Mus musculus: one gene and its partners. The protein of the gene in region 1 interacts with the protein of each later gene in a pairwise test. Links are inferred from orthologs where the notes say so. Each region holds a gene or a part of one and is shown in the gene's direction. Other genes may lie near its edges.

Evidence for each region. The genes of interacting proteins can lie anywhere in the genome.
Region 2: the proteins of Rel (region 1) and Polr2l interact in binary tests that used the Homo sapiens proteins (3 or more experiments, as listed by UniProt). The two-hybrid records come from large-scale screens. The link is inferred for Mus musculus from reciprocal best matches to the Homo sapiens genes REL and POLR2L.
Region 3: the proteins of Rel (region 1) and AI837181 interact in binary tests that used the Homo sapiens proteins (3 or more experiments, as listed by UniProt). The two-hybrid records come from large-scale screens. The link is inferred for Mus musculus from reciprocal best matches to the Homo sapiens genes REL and C11orf68.
Region 4: the proteins of Rel (region 1) and Leng1 interact in binary tests that used the Homo sapiens proteins (3 or more experiments, as listed by UniProt). The link is inferred for Mus musculus from reciprocal best matches to the Homo sapiens genes REL and LENG1.

What each region holds. Positions count from the first base shown.
Region 1 is NC_000077.6:23,743,470-23,746,980, reverse strand, and holds part of Rel (proto-oncogene c-Rel), read left to right. Parts: intron 1-1,130; coding exon 1,131-1,235; intron 1,236-1,339; coding exon 1,340-1,552; intron 1,553-2,475; coding exon 2,476-2,544; intron 2,545-2,673; coding exon 2,674-2,742; intron 2,743-3,511. UniProt on the Homo sapiens protein: Proto-oncogene that may play a role in differentiation and lymphopoiesis.
Region 2 is NC_000073.6:141,472,344-141,476,401, reverse strand, and holds the start of Polr2l (DNA-directed RNA polymerases I, II, and III subunit RPABC5), read left to right. Parts: upstream 1-1,248; 5' UTR 1,249-1,279; coding exon 1,280-1,374; intron 1,375-2,997; coding exon 2,998-3,106; 3' UTR 3,107-4,058. UniProt on the Homo sapiens protein: DNA-dependent RNA polymerase catalyzes the transcription of DNA into RNA using the four ribonucleoside triphosphates as substrates.
Region 3 is NC_000085.6:5,423,899-5,427,827, forward strand, and holds AI837181 (UPF0696 protein C11orf68 homolog), read left to right. Parts: upstream 1-1,245; 5' UTR 1,246-1,270; coding exon 1,271-1,410; intron 1,411-2,038; coding exon of another isoform or gene 2,039-2,052; coding exon 2,053-2,809; 3' UTR 2,810-3,419; downstream 3,420-3,929. Other genes in the region: Drap1 (dr1-associated corepressor), read right to left, coding at 284-377, 463-535, 775-816.
Region 4 is NC_000073.6:3,663,031-3,667,256, reverse strand, and holds the start of Leng1 (leukocyte receptor cluster member 1 homolog), read left to right. Parts: upstream 1-1,416; 5' UTR 1,417-1,809; coding exon 1,810-1,941; intron 1,942-3,395; coding exon 3,396-3,575; intron 3,576-4,226. Other genes in the region: Tmc4 (transmembrane channel-like protein 4), read left to right, coding at 79-209, 283-438, 1,077-1,155, 1,249-1,317.

The sequences.
Region 1 (3,511 bases):
GAACTGCATTGCCCTAGGGATATAGCCAGTGATATAAAATGACTCATTTATTCACAGTGTGCCTTTACCAAGAAACAGGAGGAAGAGGCAAGAACTGCTCAAGTTAAAAGGCCAACTAGCCTGGTGTACATAGCCATAAGTAACAAAGAGACTGTCTCAAAAGAGGTAGGAGTTGAGGGCTAGCAAGCACCTGAAGTTGTCCTCTGACCTCTTCCACACATATGCTGTGACATATGCTCACCTGGGCCTACATATAACCACACTCAGACATACTATAGTTATAATACATACATAACCACACTCAGACATACCTCAGCATAGCTATAATACACACATAACTACACTCAGACATACCTCAGCATAGCTATAATACACACATAACTACACTCAGACATACCACAACATAGCTATAATACACACAAAAAACATTTAGTTTCCTTTATCTATACATTAAAATTTTATCTATTCTCTAAATTATTTTCCTGAAATTCTTCCCCTTGTACTTGTACTGGCTAGTTTTATGTCAACTGACACAAACTAGAGTCATCAGAGAGGGAACCTCAATTGAGAAATTCTCCTTGGAAGATCTGGATATAGGAAAACCTGTGGGGCATGTTCTTAATTAGTGACTCACAGGGGAGGGCCAAGTCCATGGTGGGTAGGGCCGCCCCTGGGCTGGTAGTTCTGGGTTCTGTAAGAAAGCAGGCTGAGCAAGCCATGAAGAGCACTCCACTAAACAGCACCCATCCAGGGCCTCTGGATCGGTTCCGGCCTCCAGATTCCTGCCCTCACTGCTCGTTTTCTCTTTTGATTTATTTGTTTTATTTATATCAGTACACAGTTGCTCTTTTCAGACATGCCAAAAAAAAAAAAAAATCATCCCGTTACAGATGATTGTAAACCATCATGTGGTCACTGGGAATTGAACTCAGGACCTATGGAAGAGCATCTGAACCCTCTCTCCCATCCACCCTCACTGCTTCTGATGATGCACTGTTACATGGAACTATGAGGGAAATAACCCTTTTCTCCTCAGGCGACTTTTGGTCATGGTGTTTCATCACAACAACTAACATTAACTAAGACAATGCCGAGACCCAATGTTTTTTTTTTTAATCCTTTGCATTTAGGTGCCCCAAATACTGCAGAATTAAGGATCTGCCGTGTGAACAAGAACTGTGGAAGTGTCAGGGGAGGAGATGAAATATTTCTGCTTTGTGACAAAGTTCAGAAAGGTATTTATCAGCTTTGTTTAATTGAATTAGTAGTACATATTTGATTAATATATGTATTGTACCGTTTCCCCATTGTTATTATTCTTTGGCATCTTATTCACTAGATGATATAGAAGTTCGTTTTGTGTTGAATGACTGGGAAGCCAGAGGTGTTTTTTCACAAGCTGATGTACACCGCCAAGTAGCCATTGTTTTCAAGACTCCTCCGTATTGCAAAGCTATACTGGAGCCTGTGACAGTGAAAATGCAGCTGCGGAGGCCTTCTGACCAGGAAGTTAGTGAGTCTATGGATTTCAGATACCTGCCAGATGAAAAAGGTATGGCAAGTTGGGAGTAATGTGTATACGTGTGTGTGTGTGTGTGTGTGTGTGTGTGTGTGCTCACTAGAAACAGCTATGTAGCTACAGATGGATCTTAGCTGAGTGTGGGGATTACAGCAGTGTGCCTTGTGCTGTCCCTGCTGCCTTTTTAAATGTGCTGCTAGGAATTGGACTTAGACTTTTATGTACACTAGCAAGTGATGAGCTGACCAAGTGACAGTCTCTGCTGAAGGACAGATCGTCTAAAGCTGATCATGCTTGTAATATTGTAAAATAAACATTCGAGTGCAGTTTTATATCTTCAGAATCTGTATTTTTTTTCCCCTAGAAGTTTTCACTTGTGTGTTTTGGTTTGGTTTGGGTTTTTTTTTTTTCTCCTACTCTTTGCATTTCTTAAGAGTTTGAATAATTTTAGAGTTCTTTTTTTTTTTTTTTTTTTTTTTTTGGTTTTCCGAGACAGGGTTTCTCTGTGTAGCCCTGGCTGTCCTGGAACTCACTCTGTAGACCAGGCTGGCCTCGAACTCAGAAATCCACCTGCCTCCCGAGTGCTGTTCTCAAACTGTTAGATTATATTTTCCATCTATATATGTATTTTTGAATTTATTTTCTGTACTTTTTATACCCTTTTATAGGTGGGAAATTTGGTAATCATAAAGTTGTATCTATTTTGGTCCAATGTGTTAGTTCATGTTGACTTACAGTTATTTTTAGGATGAAAAATTATTATTTTAAGCTTTTTAAAATTAAGAGTAAAGTGTCCTTTATAACTGGTACTGGATGTATTGTACAGTAGCATACTTCCAGCCTGTACTGTTCGCATGTATTTTAAGCATTGCCACACTCTGATAAGGCGCTTGTTCCTGGTGCAGGAAGGAAGAATCCCATGACTTACCGCTTTCCCACTTTTCTTTCTTAATCAGATGCATATGGCAATAAATCAAAGAAACAAAAAACAACTCTGATTTTTCAGAAACTGCTGCAAGATTGTGGTAAGAATATTTTGGATTGAGTTATAGTTAAGTAAATGTGTCTTATTTGCTTTATTCTGTTTTTAAATTTTTTAAGTGATAAGCTGTTTTTCAAATTACACTTAATAATAGAAAAACTTATCATACCAGGTCACTTTACTGAGAAACCAAGAACTGCCCCTCTGGGATCAACTGGAGAAGGAAGATTCATCAAAAAAGGTATTTTATCCACTTTTTAGGAATAACTGCTTTTTAAGTCTCTTTCTTTCCTACAATCCCGCACACTCTCACTATTGAGTGCAGCTAGGCTGTACCTCTGCAGGTTGTGTTGGAACTAATTATATTTGAGGGATTTTATTGTTCAAGAAATTACATTTTGTCCACACACTGGTGCTTTTGCTTTTTTTTTTTTTTTTTTTTTTTTTTTTTTGGTTTTTCGAGACAGGGTTTCTTTGTGTAGCCCTGGCTGTCCTAGAACTCACTCTGTAGACCAGGCTGGCCTCAAACTCAGAAATCCGCCTGTCTCTGCCTCCCGAGTGCTGGGATTAAAGGCGTGTGCAACCACTGCCTGGCTCATTGGTGCTTTTACTAATTTGACTGTTACCATGTAAGAAATGGCATGGATGTGGTAGGCACCTGTTTATAGCTGCTTACACTTTGAACAAGGCTGTGGCCCTTGGGGTCATGTACTGTCTCTCAGGGCCACTTTAAAAGGGGTAGGACCACAGGCATGCTGACCACCTGCTGTCATGCCCAGACCTAGAGTCCCCTCTCTCTTCTGCTACAGCAACAGAGCTGGACAGTTCCCACAGAGATTGCTTCCCACATAAACCTTAAAACTGTCTGGCCTTTTAGAGAGGATATTTTGCAATCCCCTAACAAACTCTCTGTCTTGTACCCTTACATTGGTGCTTTATCCTGGTTTCTGTAGGGCTTGTGTAATATGTACATAAATGCGGGCACTGTCCCTCAGTTGTCTGTGGTGGGG
Region 2 (4,058 bases), on another chromosome or scaffold:
CCTCTGGCCAGGGCAGGATGTTGGGGGGAGGGGACAGGACCGGGAAGTCGCCTAGCTCGTGGCTCTGCACGTGGCTCCATGGGGGATGGCAAAAGCTGCCAGGGAGGCTGTCCAGGGTGACATCGGGGGCACAACCACCAAGCTGGCCAGTGGCTCCGACCAGCCACACTCAAGACCCAGGAGACCCCTCCCGACCTCCCCTCCATCGTTTGTTTCCCAGAGGCACCTGGAAAATGTCTAGGACCCCCCAGAGCCTTCACTGTAACCAGATCTCAAACTTCCCAAGCTCTATCGAACTTCTCCAGCTTCTCACTGCAAGCTGCCTCGTTTTCCTAAGGGTAGCTCCCAACACACAAGAAGGCGGCCAAGGTGATACACTCCCCAGAAACCAGCTCCTTGCCCATTCCCTTAAGTCCTTAAGTCACGTCCAGGTGAGGCAGACCTGTGGCCACTAGCAGTCTCGCACGCAATCTCCGCGTCTGAGCCAAATATCCCGGGAAAAAGAGGTTAGAAGGTCTGTTCATAGGGTGCCTCCTCCATGACGCCTTCCCGGACCACCGCCCTGCTCCTCTCCCCAGGAAAAGACCCTTCTCAGAGGAGAGGACTGTACTGAGCGCGGGAGGCCGCCGTCGGGGCTCGGGACACCGTACCGCCGACGGTTCTGCAGCGGCCGAAGAGAAGGACGCCCCAAACTCCAAGGCCCGGACTCTGCCTGGGCACCTCGGGTAAGGGCTCCAGACCGAGACCCCTTGGAGTCCGGGCCAGGAGGCGGGAAGACCGCCTTGGCCGTGGACAGTCGGCAGCCCGCTCTCCGGCTGCGCCACCACCACTTGTTAACCACCTCTTGGCTCCAGTCGGCTTGCGATCCGGCCAGCGGGACCCCAGCCCGCTAGAACCGCCGTACCTGTGCGCGCCGCCGCACGGCGGAGCAGCTGTCAGTCAAGGCAACACGAGAAACGCGAACCGCCGGCCGCGGACCTTTCGGCCTTGCTCGGACGCCGTAGCGCCGGGATCTACCACCACAGCGGGAGGGGGGGGACCGGGATGCTGCCGCGGGCTCGGAGGCTCTCGGAGCCCCGGGTGGGCACGAGCAAGGAACACCGCCGCTTCAGGGTAATCATGGGAGCCGGGGCAGGGCTGCGGCGGGATTCAGGGAGATGCGGGGCGGGGCTCTGGATCTTACGGGGCGGAGCTAGGGCGTAATGAGCCCCGCGCTATGGGCGCGCCTGGGGCGGGCCTTGAAAAGCTACTGCCGGCAGCCTGCACGCCAGACGCCGCCATGATCATCCCGGTGCGCTGCTTCACCTGCGGGAAGATCGTCGGCAACAAATGGGAAGCCTACCTGGGTCTGCTGCAGGCCGAGTACACGGAGGGGTGAGACGGCGGGCCGCGGGGGATGGGACAGGACGGGAAGGCTGGACTGGGGGCATGAAGTCGAGGGGCAATGGGGAGGGTTCTGCGGCGGACCGGGAGTGAAATTGAGGTGTCCTGGGCCGGGGGTAGATAAGATTTCCTATGGAGAATTGGCAGGGCAGGGGTTGTGGGGTCTAGTGAGAAGACTGGATGTCCTCCAGCCCAGACCTGTGATGTATTCCCAGAAGAGTGAGTCTTTAGTTTGTTTTCGAGGCAGGATTTCGGTGGCTGACCTGAATTCTCTATGTAAAGCAGTCTGGTCTGAAACACTTCGAAATCCTGCCTGTCTCCTGGATGTTGGGATTAAAGGCGTGCAATATCACGCCCAGGCTCTCAGAAGTTTGGAAGGTGGTTTTCTTCAAGTTGCTGGCCTTTGGGAAACTTCTAAGCATCCTTCCCGTGGGTGACACCTCAAGTCTCTTCCCTGTCGACCTACTCTCTATCCTCTATCTGCTTTCCGACCTACCCCTTATGTACTTCGAACCTCGTGGGCCCTTTAAAATGCAGGACAGGCTTTGTGGGCATCGTCTTGTGCTCACTACTATGACTGTCCCCCAAAATAGACCTCTGGCCACCATGTCAACACCAAGGGGTTCTCTTTCTCTGCACAAGCCATAAGTCAGTGGGGCTTAATGAGCAGCTATTAGATCAGCTCTGATGAGTAGCTGCTAGCCTTCTGGGACCCTCTTTCACTTGGGCAGGAACCTCTCAAGCTGTCTAGGTCCCAGAGAAATTAAATCTAGTGTGAGTTCAAAGCCTGTGGGGTAGCAACAACCAGTTCATGGCGTTTAGTCAGAGTCCACCTGTGGGGCCTGGAATTGTACTCCTTGATGAGGGGATATTGGTCTCCTAAGCTTTCCCAAATAACCCTGGAAGCCCATAACCCTGGGTACAAGAGACAAACGCAGAGATACAGGGGGTTAGAGAGATGGCCCAACTGTTTTTTTTGTTGTTGTTTTGTTTTTCAAGACAGGGTTTCTCTGTGTAGCCCTGGCTGTCCTGAAACTCACTTTGTAGCTCAGGCCGGCCTCGAACTCAGAAATTCACCTGCCTCTGCCTCTACCTCCCAAGTGCTTGGGATTAAAGGTGTGCACCACCACACCCAGCTAGATGGCTCAACTGTTAAGAGCACTGGCTGTTTTGTGTGTTTGGTTGTTTGATTGTTTTTTAAGAGGACTCAGGTTCCGTTCCTTGAAGCAACATGGTATCTCGCAAGTGTCCGTAACTCCTTTGGGCTTTGGGAGCATCAGGCACCCATACACATAAAACGAAATTTTAAAAAACAGGTGTAGGCAGAAGGCTGTTAAGGATGGATACAGGATGCTATGGGAGAAGACTGGCACATGAGCAGGTGTAACTTCTAGGTGGGGAAAGGGTCACCTGGCTCCTCCCTGAGCATCTAGATACATATTTCAGAAATCTCCAGGCCATTTCCCTATGGCCTGGTGTCAGGTTTCAATCGCTGATTATGTAGATGTGCTCTGGTAACCCCTATCCACACGAATACCCAGAGGCAAGCTGGAGGTGGTTCCAAACCTATCCAGACTCTAGAGACCACATCCAGCCTCACTCTTCTCTTTACAGGGATGCCCTGGACGCTCTGGGCCTAAAGCGCTACTGCTGCCGCCGCATGCTGCTAGCACACGTGGACCTGATTGAGAAGCTGCTGAACTATGCACCCCTAGAGAAGTGACCGCTGGAGCCTGCCCTCCTCTGTCTCCTGCTGGCCACGGGCAGCCTGTCGTGCTATGTTCAAACTGAGCTATTGGGGATGTTGGTGTATTGCCTGGCTGTGGCCCTGTGGCTAAGTCCTGTTACCCTGGAAGGAACTGTTTAGTAAAGATGTTTGCAGAACCACCAACAGGTCTAACTTCCAAGGTGCTCCATGTCCATGTCTGTGCTGTCTCTGAGGCTACCTGGCCTGCCTCCAGTCTTTCCCCTAGGGCTGGTCTCCTTCCCCTTCATCTGACTGGGAGTCTCGTCCTGTGGAGGAGTACCCTGCTTCCGTTCCCCGGGGCCTTGACCACTTTGATCAACGAGGTAGCCCTACAGTAGTCTTGTACCACATTGCTTTAGGGCCTCTCCGCTTCCTGCCTGTGTTCAGGATGGGCATAATGGATGTGGGCACCACACCATCCACAGGTATGGATGGGCCCAAGCCTGGTGACAATATTCCTTTGGAATGCTGAGCGTGCTTGGAGGTCCCAATCCTTGTGCTAGGGTTATTATGCATTTGGGTATTTGGTCTGCTTATAAGTCTTTGTATCACTGTGTCCCCACAGAGGCCAGATCCCCTGAGAGTAAAGTTATAGAATGTATAAGCTGCCATCAGGTATTGGGAATCAAACCCAGATTTATTTACCTTTCATTTTCCAAGACAGGGTTTCTCTGTTTGGCCTTGACTATCCTGGAATTCAACTCTGCAGACCAGGCTGGCCTTGAACTAAAGAGATCAGTCTCTGCCTCCCGAGTGTTGAGTTTAAAGGACGGCTTGTGCCACCCAACCAAACCCAGATACTGTAGGAGTACGCCCAAGGCCACAGGCCTCACGAATTTCTTGGGTCCTAAAGCCCATCAGCTGTGTGAGCCTATCTGCTGCCCATGCCTGAGGATCTTGTTTCCAGAATCTTCCCAGGCCCGACAGC
Region 3 (3,929 bases), on another chromosome or scaffold:
AGTGGGAAAGGAAGGGGTTCAAATGGGGCCCCCAAAACACTTAGGGAAGGATACAAACAACTTCTTCGTGTCAGTACAGTGGAACGTTAAAAACACCCCTACTTCCACCAGGCCTCCTGGGAGGGCCGGTGGCTCGGATCTGGTTGTATTCCCTGCACCTGAAACACCTAATCTCTCCTGCATCAGTCCAAATCCACAAAGCTGGCCTCCCTGGGCCTTGCACCACTCCCCCTGTCGGAACTCTGCCTCCTCAAAAGCCCCTCCCAGCTCGGCGGCCACTCACAGGTGGGACGTGGTCATGGTTTTGGCATTTCGAGACTGGGTCACCTGGCAAGCCTTCTTCAACAGGGACTCCAGGAAGAGCTCAAGGGCCCGGGCTGAAGACGTCAAGGAGAATCCAAAAAGGGGAGTGCCGCAGTCCCGCCCCACGCCCCTCAGCCCAACCGGCCCCTAGTAGGATACAGATGATGACAGGCACAGCTGCCGCCACCTTCCCAATCTCTTCGTCCGTCTGCATGATCTTTTTGATCCGCGCCTGCCGAAAGGAAGAGGACAGAGCTCGTCTCTTGCGTCCCTAACACGGGGGACAGAGGGAACCGGGGGTATCCCGGGAGAAGGAGAAGAGGGCGGGGGGCGCTAAGTCAGGAGGGCATGGAAGGGGCGGGGCGTCAGGCCGTGAACACCTAAAGGCACCCGCCCCCCCCACCAGCAGGACCTGGGCCCAAGCCTCCCGGGAGCCCTGCCTGCCGGGGCCCATCCGGGCCACGTGCTCACCGGCGGAAACCGCGCGTTATACTTCTTCTTCTTGCTTGGCATCTCGGGGCCTCTCGTTGCGCCGGGCCCAGCGCCGCCGCCCGCAGCCTCCCGGCCCCGGGCCTGTCCGCCGCCGGCCCGCCGCGGTCCCCCCCCCCACCCTCCCCGGGTCCTGGTGCCGTTTACTCCGCCTACACCACTTCCCGCAGGGTCCTAGTGCCGCCCGTAGACAAGCAGCTCCCCAAACTCGAGCGCTGGGCTTCGGATCCTCTGGGGCGGTGCGCGTCCTTCCCCGGGCTCGCCCGCCACGCCCACCCGCCCCCCAAGCTAAAGTACGAACGTTAGCTCCGCCTCCCGAAGACCTGCACCTCCCGGGATTCTCGCGCCGGCTCCGCCCCTGGACGCTGCCCGCCCCTTCCCCTGGAGCCCCCGCCCCTAGCCTTCTGGTTCCGCCTCTGGCCCCGCCCCGTGACTGTGTTTGTCTATAAAGTTGTTGTTGAGGTGGCGGGACCCTAAGATGGCGGCGGCGGCGGCGGCCGTGGCAGGGGCGGGGCGCGGCGGGGGTGGCGGCGGCGGCGGCGGCGGCGCAGCAGATCCCGGGCAGGAACGGAGCCGGGCCCGAAGTTGGGTTGGCGCGGAACGGAGTGAAGGCCGGAGGTGACTGCGGGGTGGCGAGAGGGACGGCAACCCTTAAGCTGTGGGCACTAATGGCGGCGGATGTGGTAGGGCTGGAGCCTGGTCCTCGCGCAGGCCTGGTCCTATCTGGTTCGAGTCTGGATGGTACCCATTGACCCCCTGATGGGCCGCTGCCCTCTCTGGGGCTCAGAGCCTCGGTGTTTCACGGTGCCCCCAATCGTTCACCGGGGGAGGCCTGGCCCTCTACAGCCATCCTCTGAGGTTGGCGACCCTGCGTTTTGCCTACGTCCATTATATTGCAGCGCCGCGCTACCTTGCAGGACTCTAGTCCGGTGGTGTAGCCGAGCCCCGTGCCAGTTCACACTTAAGCTCTGGCGCTCTTTACGGGCATGACCTTGGGCAAGCCCCTTTTCTTAAGAGTTTCAATTTCCTTGTTTGTAAGCAGTGAAAGTAGTACTAACTATAGCTACTCCACCTCAGGCGTCTTATTCTGGAGACAAATCTAGACAGGATCAGTTGTTACCCATTGTGAAGATGAAGCAACTGAGGCACAGACATTATGTCTTGCCCAGGGCCACAGTTTACTGCAGTGCCTGGCACCCTCCAGGACCCAGCACTTTTTATTTACTGTCTCAAACCTCTGACTCAGTTCCCTCACAACAGGATGGAACCAAATGAGGAGCTGGAAGAGGAAGACTCTCCAGGTGGCCGGGAGGATGGCTTCACTGCTGAGCACCTGGCTGCAGAGGCCATGGCAGCCGATATGGACCCCTGGCTGGTATTTGATGCCCGTACCACACCTGCCACAGAGCTGGATGCCTGGTTGGCCAAGTACCCACCATCTCAAGTTACTCGCTATGGGGACCCAGGTTCACCCAACTCTGAACCTGTGGGCTGGATTGCAGCCTATGGGCAGGGTTACACCCCCAACTCAGGGGATGTACAAGGGCTGCAGGCGGCCTGGGAGGCTCTGCAGACCAGTGGGCGACCCATCACACCAGGTACCCTGCGCCAGCTGGCCATCACCCACCATGTGCTCTCCGGCAAGTGGCTGATTCACCTGTCACCTGGCTTCAAGCTGGACCACGCCTGGGCTGGCATTGCCCGGGCTGTAGTTGAGGGCCGTCTCCAGGTGGCCAAGGTGAGCCCACGGGCCAAAGAGGGTGGGCGCCAGGTCATCTGTGTTTACACGGACGACTTCACGGACCGCTTGGGTGTGCTGGAAGCAGATTCTGCCATTCGTGCTGCAGGCATTAAGTGCTTGCTCACTTACAAACCTGATGTCTACACCTACCTGGGCATCTACCGAGCCAACCGCTGGCACCTTTGCCCCACTCTCTATGAGAGCCGTTTCCAGCTTGGAGGCAATACCCGTGGCTCTCGAGTGCTGGACCGTGCCAACAATGTAGAACTGACCTAATGGGGCCGAGCAGGAGAGACCACCTTTTGCTTGGATCCTTCCTTCTTCTCTTCCTTGTCCCAAGAAGGCTGAGCTCCTTAGCCCTGAGGACTCATTGGCGTGGGAACTGCCTGCACTCAGTCCCTTTGCACTTCTGCTCTCTTTGTGCAGGGCCAACTCCCACCCTCACAGGTTGGGGGCTCTGGCTCTTGGAGGGCGGGGCCCTCGGCGGCCCTCTTTGATGCTGCTCCCCACCACTGCCCAGGACCACAGCTTGGGTGCAGAGACTCGAGGAAGTCTGTCCTGGCCACCTCTGTCCCCACTATACTTAGCCTGCATTCTTCCTTTTCTTTCCTCCCTCAGAAGGGAGAAAACTTAGTGCTTCCAGCCCCTGCCCTTGGCGCCATCATAGTCCAGGTGGCCGGGCCCTTCCAGGACTAAGCATGCTATTGGGACCTGTACATGTTCTGGCCAAGAGGAGACGCAGGGTCATGGACATGGGGTCTGCTCCTCCCTGCAAACTCATAGCCTGCATCACCACCACCCCTTCCCTGGCTACCTTGACATGTGCCTGCTCCTGACATTTCAATAAAACCCAGCTCGGGTCTGTGTCTTGAGTGTTTTTTACAAACACTGTCCTGATGGTTATCTGTGTTGGCTCTCGAGGAAAGATGGGGCCGGAAGAGACAGCTCCAGCCTGAGTGGGCCGCCTTCTCCTCCTCCCTCAGTGGTGAAAGTAGTGTGCTGCTGTGCGGAGGCCAGGCACCATCGCTGAGAACCTCTTCAGAGCTGTTCCCCTCTGTAACCATGGATCAAAATCAGTTTTTTAAGTCTTTCCAGAAAGGCCCAAGGCCTTTTTTGGTATATTCTTTTGGTCCCAAGGTATATTTGTTTTACATTTTATTTTATTAAGAAAGAGTCTCTCTCCCAGCACTTGGGAGGCAGAGGCAGGCGGGTTTCTGAGTTCGAGGCCAGCCTGGTCTACAAAGTGAGTTCCAGGACAGCCAGGGCTACACAGAGAAACCCTGTCTCGAAAAGACAAAAAAAAAAAAAAAAAAAAAAAAAAAAGTCTCTCGATGTAGCCTTGACTGGCCTAGAACTTACTATGTACCTTAGGTTGGCCAGTAACTCTGGGAAATGC
Region 4 (4,226 bases), on another chromosome or scaffold:
TCCAAGATAAGAAACAGGGAAAAGCAAAGGATTGACTCTTGAGTCTTACACCTCCATTTCCTCGCCTCTCCCTACCAGATAACCCTCTTCTCCATCTACTCACCGGCTTCCCGCACCTTCCGAGCATCCACGGCAAACTTCTTTTTCCCCCTGGTTCTCCTTGTGGGTCTGGCGATCTCTGCAGTTCCCGTGCTTTACAGTATCTTCCTGTAAGTACGAGAGACTTCTGTTTGTTCTCACTCTAGCTCGACTTGACTGAATCCAGTGTGTCTCCCCCTACAGGATCCCACCTTCGAAACTGTGTGGCCCGTTCCGCGGGAAGCTGTCCATTTGGGCCCAGATCCCTGAGGCCATTGAGAGCCTCCCTCAGACTGCCCAGAATTTTCTCTACTTTCTGGGAACCCAAGCTTTTACTGTACCTCTTCTGATCCTCTCTAGGTGAGCAGTCAGACTTTGAATGTGTGTAATTTAGTGTTTGAAAGAGAAAGGAGTTTCTGGGCACCTGAGTGCTAGAGAGGTGGGCTGGGTGCCTATATACAACAGAGACGTGGGGCTGGCCGGGATGCCTATAAATCAAGAGCAGGAGAGTCGGAGTGTGAATGCTTAGGGTCTAAGAAAAGACATCTGGGTTTGGATTCCTGGTCTGAGGAAAGGAGGGCTAGGGTGTGGATTTATCGATTTGATGAAGGGGGAGGAGGTATGGAGCCTGAACCTCTAGTTTAACCTCTGGTTAAAGGGTCTGAACTTTTGGGTCTAAAGAGAGAGGATAAAGACTTGTGTTCAGAGTCTCAAAAAGGGTTTTAAGGGATTTGAGGATCCTGATATTGGTTTCTTTAATTTACTTATTCATTTAATTTTTATGTGTGTTGGTATTTGGACAGTGTGACTGTCTGTGTGAAGTAACGAACTTGAGTTACAATTGTAAGCTGCCATGTGGGGCTGGGAATTGAACCCCGGTCCTTTGGAAGTGCAGCCAGTGCTCCGGTTACGAGCCATCTCTCCAGCCTGGTTTCTAAGGAGCCATATGATGAAGATGATTGTTTTTCTAGAGTGATTTTCATTCCTGTCTTCCATAGCATCCTGATGATGTATACCGTAGCCCTGGCTAACTGTTACGGACGCCTCATCTCTGAGCTCAAACGCCAGATAGAGACGGTGAGCCAGGCTGATTTCCCCGGAAAGGGCTCTATGAGACTATGAAAGAAGAATGAAAAGGTGTGCTTCACTTTCGCTCCTTTTTGCCCGCAGGAAGTGCAGAATAAAGTCTTCCTGGCCCAGCGAGCTGTGGCTCTGAGCTCAAGGAATGGAACTTCCTGATAAGTCTGGCTGAACCTTCAGCCCCTCAGCTTCAGTGACTTCATATCAAGTGATGGGACTCTTTCATCTCTGGAACCAAATTCCCCGCCCTCTGCCACCCGAATGCTACACTCTCAATTGAACCGTATTAATAAACAACAGTCAAGGCCGCTTTGCGTTTTGAAACCCCGTTCTGAAGCCTCGGACGGGGTTTGGGGAGGGGCCAGGTCCAAATCGGCCTGAAGAGCTAGGTTATGTCTGCTTAAAGGAATAGACAGGCAACAGCCTCATCAAGCAGCGTCCGGGGGTGGAGCAACTCAGGTTACAAATGCTTAGGATTGGCTGAGATGGAAGGCTCTCAGCCAATAATCTCTAAACAAGGCTAGGATGGGACGTGACAATTGGCCCAGAACCAATGCACGAGCAAGGGTGGAACCATGGGGCGGGAGCATCCTCGAGCCAATCGGAAGTGCTGAAGAGTGGGCCTGACAGTCCGAGGTCGGCACTGGAGCCATGAATATCTTGCCGAAGAAGAGCTGGCACGTCCGGAACAAGGACAATGTTGCCCGCGTGCGGCGCGACGAGGCCCAGGCCCGGGAGGAGGAGAAGGAGCGGGAGCGGAGGGTGCTGCTCGCCCAGCAAGAGGTAAGCCTGGGGACCGCCCAGAAGCGCGGCGGGCCTAGCTATCACTCGGTGCCGGGAGCGGGTCTGTGTGTTCGACGATGTTTCTCTGAAAATCCTGTGCTAACTTCCAAGAAACCTTCCTAGATTTCCCCACTGGTGTTGAGGGACCAGAGACTAGCATACTGGAAGAGTTGGACAAATATTCTGATTACTTTATAGGTTGCCCGCACAAGTTAATTACTGATCACCCACTCTGTGTATGCTCCCTTCCTTCTGAGCGCTTGCTTTGAGAAATTCCCTCTTAGAACAACTTGGAGGGGTGCGGTCACCTTGCTCTGAGTACAACGGCTTCAGCAAGGAGGGCAAAGGGCGGACAAGCCGGGGTCCACTTCGTTGGGCATGTCTTTTCTCCCTCCCTCATTGCTTGCCAAGAAAAGAGCATCTGGAGGTTTTATTTGGAACAGGGTCTGTGTAGCCGTGGCTGTTATGGAACTGGCTACGTAGACCAGGCTGGTCTTGAACTCAGCTTGCCTGTTCCACTTGAACGCTAGTATTGAAGACCACACACACATCACAGACTCTAAGTTACTCGATTAGTTTGGTTTACACTTAAGTCCCTTGGCCAATCTGATCATGAATTAGTGTGGGCTTAAAAAAAAAAAAAAAAGCCGGGTAGTGGCGGTGGCGCACGCCTTTGATCCCAGCACCTGGGAGGCAGAGGCAGGTGGATTTCTGAGGCCAGCCTGGTCTACAAAGTGAGTTCCAGGACAGCCAGGGCTACACAGAAAAACCCTGTCTTAAAAAACAAAACAAAACAAAACAAACAAACAAAAAGGTGACGCTTGTAATTAATCCCAGATACTAAGGCTGCAGAAAGGGGAGAATTGTGAATCAGAGACCATCCCTATCTGGGGTCAGGTTGTACTTGGAGTGGTGACCTGGAGCCATACCTTGGATTTAGATCCTTTGTCCAGAAAGCAATATTTGATTACCTTACAAGTTTGGGAGTATATACATACTTGTGTTGGGGACTGAATTTGGAACTACACACAAGGCAGGGGCTCTATGGCTGAACAAGCCACCTATACCTATACCTGAGTGGGTTTTCCTTGCATCACTTGAGACTGGGAAGCCTTCTGTTTTAGGTCAGGGATCTTCTCTGAACTATCTCTGATAGCCCAGTTTACTGTCTAAAAACATCGATTCTCCACTCCAAGTTAGAAATGGTATCTCTTCTTGCTCTCAATATTTGCCCCACCCCCACCCCCTCTTTTCAAGACAGGATTTTTCTGTGTAGTCCTGGAACTAACTCACTCTGTAGACCATGCTGGCCTTGAATTCAGAGATCCATGTGCCTCTGTCTCCTGAATGCTAGGTTCAAAGGTGTGTGCTACCACTGCCCTCCCTGCCCATGGACCATTCTTGTATCCTCAGCACTTCTGGGTTCTGAATGTCTTCCCTATAACCCTTCATAGGCCCGTACGGAATTCCTACGGAAGAAAGCCAGGCAACGAAACTCAGTGCCTGAGCTGGAAGCAGCAGACCCAGGAGCTCCAAGTTCTGGCCCTGTGGACCTGTTTAGGGAGCTGCTGGAAGAAAGGAAAGGAGTTCCCAGAGGCAATAAAGAGCATGAGGAAGAGAAGCGACGGGAAAAGGTAAGTTGGCCTCATTTTTTGGTGGAATCATGGGGGTGGGGACTGGCTGTGACTGTTAGGATATGGTGATAAGCACTCTAAAATTTTTAGAATATGACTGAGAGATATTACCTGTAAGTTGGTTACTGCTGTACAGCACTTAAACTGGCTAACCTTTTCCCATGGGACTAAAAAAAGTCTTAAGCTATTTTATTTTTGAGATGAGGTCACAACTACACAGACCAGGGGTGCTTTCCAATTCTCAATCCCCCTGCCTTGGCCTCCTGAGCCAAGTGTTGGGATCATAGGCACTCATCTCCAGACAGCATTTGTGCTTTTCAAACTGACTTGTACTGTGGCTCTCCTCTCTCTCGTCGAACTTTGAAGGTGCTATCTCCCACTGAAAAATCACTCCTCCACTTTGCTTTTCTGCAGGTTTTTCCTTAAACTGTTCCCAAAGCTTCTCCCATCTTCACTACTGCACAGGCCGCAGCCTCTCTTTCTTCCTCCTCCTGCAGATAAGCCCCTGGTGCTTCCTGAATGGTCTTCTGATCTCCCTTGTTAAATGACTGTCTACCAGTCCCCGTCTCCAGAAATTTGAGCCCTGGGTTTTTCTATTGCCACATCTAGGGCTCCCAGAGGGACTGAAAAGACTATTTTGTTTTCTTGCCT